2 linked regions of the Caenorhabditis elegans genome follow. The protein of the gene in region 2 purifies or fractionates together with the protein of the main gene of each other region. This does not show direct contact. Each region holds a gene or a part of one and is shown on either strand. Other genes may lie near its edges.

The links. Proteins that work in one complex are often made in the same cells at the same time.
Region 1: the proteins of F30A10.9 (region 2) and Y49F6B.2 fractionate together in Caenorhabditis elegans (co-fractionation; one large-scale study listed by BioGRID). This does not show direct contact.

The regions. Positions count from the first base shown.
Region 1 is NC_003280.10:3,501,232-3,505,460, reverse strand, and holds Y49F6B.2 (Fcf2 pre-rRNA processing C-terminal domain-containing protein), read right to left. Parts: upstream 2,494-4,229; 5' UTR 2,488-2,493; coding exon 2,377-2,487; intron 2,289-2,376; coding exon 2,049-2,288; intron 1,981-2,048; coding exon 1,816-1,980; intron 1,770-1,815; coding exon 1,645-1,769; intron 753-1,644; coding exon 635-752; 3' UTR 551-634; downstream 1-550. Other genes in the region: cyh-1 (Cyclin-H), read right to left, coding at 371-442; col-71 (Cuticle collagen 71), read left to right, coding at 3,017-3,112, 3,536-3,896.
Region 2 is NC_003279.8:9,503,900-9,507,783, forward strand, and holds F30A10.9 (PIN domain-containing protein), read right to left. Parts: upstream 1,870-3,884; 5' UTR 1,867-1,869; coding exon 1,793-1,866; intron 1,738-1,792; coding exon 1,672-1,737; intron 1,618-1,671; coding exon 1,469-1,617; intron 1,418-1,468; coding exon 1,260-1,417; exon of another isoform or gene 1,109-1,259; intron 1,078-1,108; coding exon 934-1,077; 3' UTR 922-933; coding exon of another isoform or gene 829-921; 3' UTR 663-828; coding exon of another isoform or gene 567-662; 3' UTR 504-566; downstream 1-503. Other genes in the region: stn-1 (Syntrophin-1), read left to right, coding at 1-455, 567-662, 829-921; Ubiquitin carboxyl-terminal hydrolase usp-48, read left to right, coding at 2,657-2,838, 2,891-3,148, 3,199-3,280, 3,329-3,630, 3,675-3,884.

The sequences.
Region 1 (4,229 bases), on a different chromosome or scaffold from region 2:
CGAAAAAAAATCCATTTTTCCGGAAAAAAAACGGTGGAATTCTCAGATTTTTCAGTAAAATTACAGGAATTTCTACTTTTTTTCAATTTTTCTCAGAAAAAAAAAACAAAAAAATAAATTTTTCCGGAAAAAACGTTGAAATTTCTAACTTTTCCTGAATTTTTCAGAGAAAATGAAATAAATGCTCAATTTTTCGAATTTTTAAATAAAAAATGCCGAAATTCTTAATTTTTCCAATAAAAATGACTAAATTTTCAACTTTTTCCGAATTTTTTAAATAAAAAATGCCGAAATTGTTAATTTTCCGTGTTTTAAGTGAAAATTTTGCTGTTTTTAGCCTATTTTCCATAAAAAATTCCAATTTTTCTACCTCCAAACGCATTGCGGCCAACTTTTCCGGTGTATACGTCCATTCCCGTTTTTGTGTGCTCGTCGCGTACATTTCTGAATTTTTGCCATTTTTTTGGCTGAAATTTTCGGTAAAAAAAAAGGTAATTCTGGGTGAAAACCAGTGAAAATTAGTGAAAAATGGGCAAAAAATCGACAAAATAACAAAAAAACGAGTCTATAACAAGAAAATTCCAACAAAAACCAGAAAAAAAATGTGAAAATTCAAAAAATTAACAAAAAAAAATTATTTCTTCTTATTCTTCATTTTTGATTCTCTCTGTTGCTTGTGAGATTTGCGATTTCCGAATTTTTGGAATGCTCCACGTCGTTTAGATTGCTCTTTTTGGCGAATTTCAGCGTATCTGGAAGGAAAATATGGAAAAATTGGAGCTTTTTGATATAAAAATCGATTTTTTCGGAGGAAAAATGTGATTTTTGAGCTATTTTCACACAATTTAACCGTTTGTTTTGCTCAAAATCCGAAAAAATTGAGTTTTTTTTTATTGAAAAATCGATTTTTGGGGGGAAAACCTGTGCTTTTTTCAGAGATTTTAGCGGATTTTTCAGGAAAAAATACTGAAATTCTCAAAATTTTCGATTATTTTCCGGAAAAAAACGTTGAAATTATCGTTTTTTTGGTCAAAAATCGTGTTTTCAGTTAAAAGTTTGCGGTTTTTCGCCATTTTTGGACAAAATTCGGCGAAATTTTCTGAAAATTCGGCTTTTTTTTGCTCCTAAAATCAAATTTTTCGGTAAAAATCTTGGAAAATGTTTTTTTTATTAAAAAAAAACCATATTGTAACGAAAATTCACCATTTTCCATCAATTTTAGCCAATTTTGAGCTCCAAAATCATAATTTTACGTTAAAAAACGTAAAAAACTGTCCATTTCCGGGTTTTTTCGACGAAATTTCGTCGTTTCAAGTGAAAATCGATCAATTTTCAGCATTTTTTTGGGGTTTTCGAGTCCAAAATCATAATTTTACGTTAAAAAAACGCAAAAACTGCAGATTTACAGGATTTTCGGCAAAAATTCGGCGTTTTGAGTGAAAATCGGTCAATTTCTACCGTTTTTAGCGAGTTTTTGCATTAAAAATATCAATTTCCAGGATTTTTGGCAAAATTTCGCCGTTTTGGGTGAAAATCGGCCAATTTTTATCCTTTTTAGCTCATTTTTGCTCTAAAAATCACGATTTTAACGTTAAAAACGCAAAAACTTGAATTTTTTCACAAAAATTCTTGATTTTCCCGTACTTTTTCTTGGCTTTGCTCAACGATTCCTCATTATGCAAAATCTCGTCGACCATCGTCTTTTTTCGCTCTTTTCGCACCATTCTACTCGAATAAAAGTCTTCTGGAGCGTCAACGACTCGTCCAACCTGAAAAATCTCGGATTTTTTGGGAATTTTTTAAATTTTCTCGAACTTGGAAGTATTTCGGCAGTACAGCCCGGTCATTTCGACGATAATGAGCCAATGGATCGAGAGTTGATCTCATTTGAAGGAATTCCAAATCTCGTTTGTGCTCATCGGTGAGCTCCGTCGCTGGAAGGTTGAACCAAGCGGATCCTTTGGTTTTTTCGCGTTCTGACTGGAAAAATAGCGATTTTTATTGGATTTTGAGCGATTTTAATCGAATTTTCATCGATTTCAACGCACTTTCTTCAGCCTGGCGGCCGCATTCCGGCCTAAAAGCCTATTTTGAGGCTGATGATCGCCTTCAAACTTCGGCCCGACAACTGACTTTTCCAGAAGCTCCTGCAAGTCCTTATCCATCTCATATGGCTCCAAATAGGATGTTCCGAGCAGGTCAACTGCCTCAAAAGCTCCTTCTTTTGGCGCTTCTTCACGTACGGCTCTGTCAACGACGAAATCATCGAATTCCTCGGCGACAGGCTTCTGAAAATCGATTTTTTTGGTGCTTTTCTGGGAAATTTTCGGTTTTTTTCGCTAAAAATTTGCAAAAATCGCCGTTTTTTGTGATTACTTGTTGCTTTTGCTTCTTTTTTGGAATTTCCTCGTCGGAATCCGAATCTTCGCTGCTTGAAACGTCGGGATTCTGCTGTTTTCGTAGCTTTTTGAAGTAGAGCGCAGACATTTTGAGCTGAAAATCATTCAATTTCAATTTTTATTCGAAAAAACTGGCGAAAAAGAGCGAAAACCGACGAAAACCCGGTGAAAACCTTCGAAATAAATAAATTAAATTAACCATATTCGCAATGGAGCGCGGATGCAACTCGTGGCCTAGAAAACTCCAACTCGGCCCCGAAGAGGAAAAACTCCAAATTTTCAAGATTTTCTCGGGAAATTGATGGGTTTTCGGGTTTTTTTGAGGGAATTTCGAGCAGAATCGATGCTTTTTAAGCTCCAAGCTTCAGAAATTGCGAAAAATCGGCAAATTTCAGCCAAATTCCAGCTTCAATGACAAAAAACTTTATAGAAAAGCTTCTAATTATATCGTTCATTATCATCTTTGACGTCTTTAGGGAACACTTTTTTCCAGCATTTTCCGCCGAAAATCCGATAGACCACACACTCTGCGTCTCCACGGCGTTACGTTATCTCTCGCATGCGAACCAACTTTTTCACCGATTTACCGGTCGTTGGCGATTTTCGGCGGCTTTAAAATGCGCAACGCAGGCGGTGATAAGCCATTCTCCACACCCGTTTTGCTTCGCGAAATGGGCTTGAAGACGCACGTTGATGATGATCCGAAGACTAAGGTGAGCGGTCTATTTCGAGTAGGCCTAATAGGCTTTCTAGGCCGTATAGGCTTGCCTTGTAGGTCCTCTAGGCGCCTGCCTTGTGGGTCTTCTAGGCCTTCTAGGCGCCTGCCTTGTAGGCTTTCTTGGCGCCTACCTTGTAAGCTTTCTAGGCCATCTGGGCGCCTGCCTTGTAGGCTTTTTAGGCGCCTGTTTTGTAGGCCTTGTAGGCCTTCTAGGTGCCTGCCTTGTAGGCGCTCTAGGCCTTCTAGGTGCCTATCCTTTAGGCCTTCTAGGCGCCTACCCTTTAGGCCTTCTAGACGACTGCTTTGGAGGCTTTCTAGGCCATTTAGGCGCCTACCTTAGAGGCCTTCTAGGCGCCTGCCTTGTAGGCTTTCTAGGCCTTCTAAGCTTATAAAAACTAAAAATCCATATCATTTCCAGGCCTACCGCCTTATCGGCTACGCCGCCGTCACCTTCTCCACAGTCTCGGTGATCTGTTTCTGTGTCACAATGCCAGTTGTCTTCACCTACGTCCAATCGGTAAAACGTCAGATGTCCCATGAGATGGCCACGTGCAACGTCAATGCTCGTCAGATTTTCGATGACGTTGCTGCTCTGCGAGCCGGCTTCCCATTCGCACAGGCAGGCAACCGTACCGCCCGTCAAGCTGGATACGATGTGCATCCGAGCAAGCCAACGCCTGTCGGATATAGTGGTGGAGATGCGGCTGCGGCGGAGGTGAAGGGAAATAGCCCGGCGGCCGCCTACGAGGATAAGCCGTTTGTTGCTGTTGGAGTTGAAGGTGAGGTTTAAGCCGTGTAGGCCTTGTAGGCGTTGTAGGCGCCTGCCTTCTAGGCCCTGTAGGCTTTGTAGGCTGCTTCGTAGGCGCCTGCCTTGTAGGCGATCTAGGCCTTCTAGGCGCCTGCATTGTAGGCTTTCTATGTGCCTGCCTTGTAGGTTTTGTAGGTCCCTGTCTAGTAGGCCTAGCAGGCGCCTACTTTATAGGCATTGTAGACGCCTGGCTAGAAGGCCTTCTAGGCATCTGCCCTGTATGCGCCTGCCTTGTATGCCTTGCATGCTTTTTAGCCGCCTGCCTTGTAGGCTTTCTAGGCGCCTTCCTTGTAGGCATTGTAGG
Region 2 (3,884 bases):
AAGTGAGACATATGGGTTGGATTGCAGAACAAGTATCAGAAAATGGAATTTCAATGTGGAAACCTAAATTTATGACGCTTACGAATAGTGAGATCTTGTTCTATGAAGCTGTTCCACAGCTGAAAGCAGAATGGGCAGAGCCAAGACTAGTACGTCCTCTGGTGGCAACAAGAGTCGTTCAGACAAGTTCTCGAACTGCGCCAGTAATTAAAGGTCTCACTGATGTGATCTCTTTCCGTATGAGAACTGGAACTCAACAAGGTGTTCGGACACATACGATCCGGGTAGAAACTCATGCAGAACTGGCACGATGGGTTCGTGCAGTAGTGATCGGTGGATATGAAGCATGTCTTTCTACATCTCAAGTCTCTGCTCCTTGTCTTTGGCGAGGCGAATCATGCGAACTAATAGTTAATCTAGACAATGGAATATCATTACTTTCGTCGACTGGAGAGGTGAGCTCATTGGAATAATTTAGCAATAAGAAAGTGATAAACGTTTTCTAGATTAAAACAAAGATTTATAACATTTAGAGAAGCTACATTTTCTTAAAGCTTACAATTCAGGTACTGTGGCAACATTCGTTTGAAACGATTCGCGCCACCGGCGATGATGGTGGTCGTTTTCTCTGGGTCGATTTTGGACCACCACATGGTGAACAGGTAAAAATGGATTTTATTTTAACCTTAATTTCATACTTATAGAAAAAAAACGGATTTTTTTTGTGTAAAGTTTTTGAATAAAAAAAAGGATAGGCAACAAAACAATAAAAGCAGATCAACAAGTAATATTCAAAACAAAAGAAGCATAAATGAATGAAAAATTTAGGAATTGGATTTGCTAAATTCCGCAAAGCCAGTCGTGTTCATTCTTCATTCATTTCTCGCCACCAAGGTGTATCGATTAGGATTGTACGCGTGAAGCATCAAAAGGTTAGTTCATTGGAGCTCCATATGCATCAGGCATTCGCTCAATGGAGAATCTGTGATTGACAATGTACATGATCGGAACTCCTGGGATCTTTCGGATGCGGCGCTTCAGATCACGATCACAAGTGGCCACAATATAGCATTTATGCTGAAAATTATATTATTTTTTTCATTTTCAGATTCGTTATTTGTTCAAGTTTGCCAAACAAAAAGACTGCAGCAATACCACATTCCGTCTCCTGCCTCTTCTCGTCATAATAGATTTTATTCGTTTAAGATTTGTTAGATTTTATTAAATGAAAAACAATGAAAAATTATGAATAAACGAACCTGTGTAACTCTTTGAACCAAACAATCATCAGCATATGTTCCTTTGTGCTCACACTTCAGTCTCTGCACACGTGGATCTTTCAGAACTTTCAGAGCAATTTTGAATCTTCTCACTTTTTCCAATTCAGCCAATACACAGTCAGTTGCGTACACAATAGCTGAATTATTGTGATAAAATACAAGAAAACGAAAGAAAGTGTATGACTCACTTTTCGCGAACAGACAATCCATGAATCCTTGAAACATGTCAATGCGATTTTTGACGGCGAAATTCACAAAATTGGTATCGACAATAACGTGAAATGGTGGACCCAGCTGTGTATTGTATTTCATAAACATAGCGGATGAGATTTTTGGACTGAAATTATGAATTATTATTGTCTGGACACATATTCGTACGAATAAAACTTACGCACGGACCAATTTGAGTTCTTGTTCATCTACTTTCGGTGTTCTAATGACTCTTTGTTCTTCTTTTCTGAAATATTGCGTTTTAAATCAAGGTTATTCGATAAAATTATCGTTATCCTTACATTCTGTTGTCTGTCTTTTTGACAAGCTTGTTTACAGCGCTTTTTCTGGCGTTGGACTTCAAGCGTTTACCCATTTTCTGTAAATTAGAACATATATTTGTAAATTAGCACATATATTATCGAAGAAATTTGGAAAAAACGAAGAAAATCTTTAAAATAAGAATCTCGAACAAAATATCGAGACCCGAAGAACTCGGGGGATGTCCAATTGGGGGGATTACCAACTCGGGGGATTGGCCCCGCCCACAGAACCGTGGCTTGCAATACGCCCATTTCTGCAACTGCCGCACGGTTTTGAAACTGTATTTTTCTTGTTAATTCTCGCTCTATTGAGAAAAATACAGTTTCGAAACCGTGCGGCAGTTGCAGAAATGGGCGTATTGCAAGCCACGGTTCTGTGGGCGGGGCCAATCCCCCGAGTTGGTAATCCCCCCAATTGGACATCCCCAGAGTTCTTCGGGTCTCAAAATATCAGAAAAAATTTTTGCGAAAAAGTCCGCAGAGTTGGTGCTCCGTGTATGCACCAGTCAATGCATTTAATCTGACGCACAAACCAGCATTTCAAGAAATTGCATTCAATGTGCATCGCATATTCAAATTTCTGTCAGCTATTTATGTTTTTATTTTATTGCCCCGTTTCTTTTCTCCGCGGACTATTGATTATTGACGATGTGGAATAATTCATACACGAACTTTTAAATCTTAACGCCAAGAAAAAGTGCAAGAATTCAGTTTAAAATTTGAATAAAAAGTAAAATAATATTTTCGCGTTGTCATGTTTTCAAAGTCTGCTTTTATTTTTATTCTTAACGAGAACACTTCCTTTAATAAAGGAATGTCTAAAAAGATTTTCAATTTCAGAAAATGACAAAGGAGACTGACAAAAAGCCAAAAGAACGTCCGAATCAAAGAAAAGTTGCATTTCGAAATGAAGCAATAAATGCATTAGTAAATACAGATGAGGACCAAGTCACATTTTCGAAAGCAATGGAAGTTGCCAAATTAGATTGTCAAAAGTGTCTTCTACACGATATGCATAGTTCAAAGTAAGCATTTTTATTAAACAAACTATAATTAATTTTGTTTTTATCGATTCAGGTCATCGAATTGTCGCGATAATCCATTTTGTATACATCGATTAGGACTCGAGAAGTTTGAAAAGTTGATAACTCAGGAGCAGGAAACTAAAGAAGAAGCGAAAAAAGATCAAAAGCGGAGAGATCTGAATGATCAACCAGCCGGGCTTATCAATGGAGGAAACTTTTGCTATGTGAATAGTTTTCTTCAAGTCTGGTTCAACGTTCCTGAGTTCCGGCAGTTGATCTATGATTTCCGACCATCGGAGAACTTTGTTCCGTTAGTTTTGTTGCCTCAGTTTTTCAAAAAAAATTTGTTTTATTTTTCAGGCCAGAAGCTCCAAGAATGAATGTTCAAGCAACTATGCTCGCGCTTCAAGACATTTTTTATACACTACAGACAACTCCTTTCGTAAGTTATTTGATATGAATGCTGTTAATTTTAGATTTTTCTTTCCAGAACGAGACCGACAAAACTTCGAATCTTGGGAAATTACTTCGATTGAATTCAGAACAACAAGATTCTCAGGAATTCGGATTAAAATTCTTCAATGCACTCGAACGATGTCTTCCAGATCATCCGAATGGAAAAGAAACTTTGAAAAGATTAAAAGATCTTTTCACTGGAGAGACTTGTACTCGAATTGTATGCAAATGTGGACAACGATCTGAACGGGAAGAAACAGCAATCTCATTGACTTTGAATATTGAAGGTTATTGCACACTTCTAGATGCTCTTGATGCTTACTTTGGAGAAGAACAGTGAGTTCGATCTTTTTCTATTCACTGCTAATATTTATTTTCAGTCTGGACGACTTCAAATGCTCAAAATGCAATAAAACTGGAGATGTTTCGAAGCAATCCGATTATGTTAAGCTACCTCCTGTCATTGTGATTCAGCTCAATCGATACAAATACACATCCAAAGGGCGTCAAAAGTTAAAAACACCAATGGCATATCCAAGAGAAATTCCAGCAAAAGCATTTCAAAGAACGAATAATTCAATTCCTCCGCC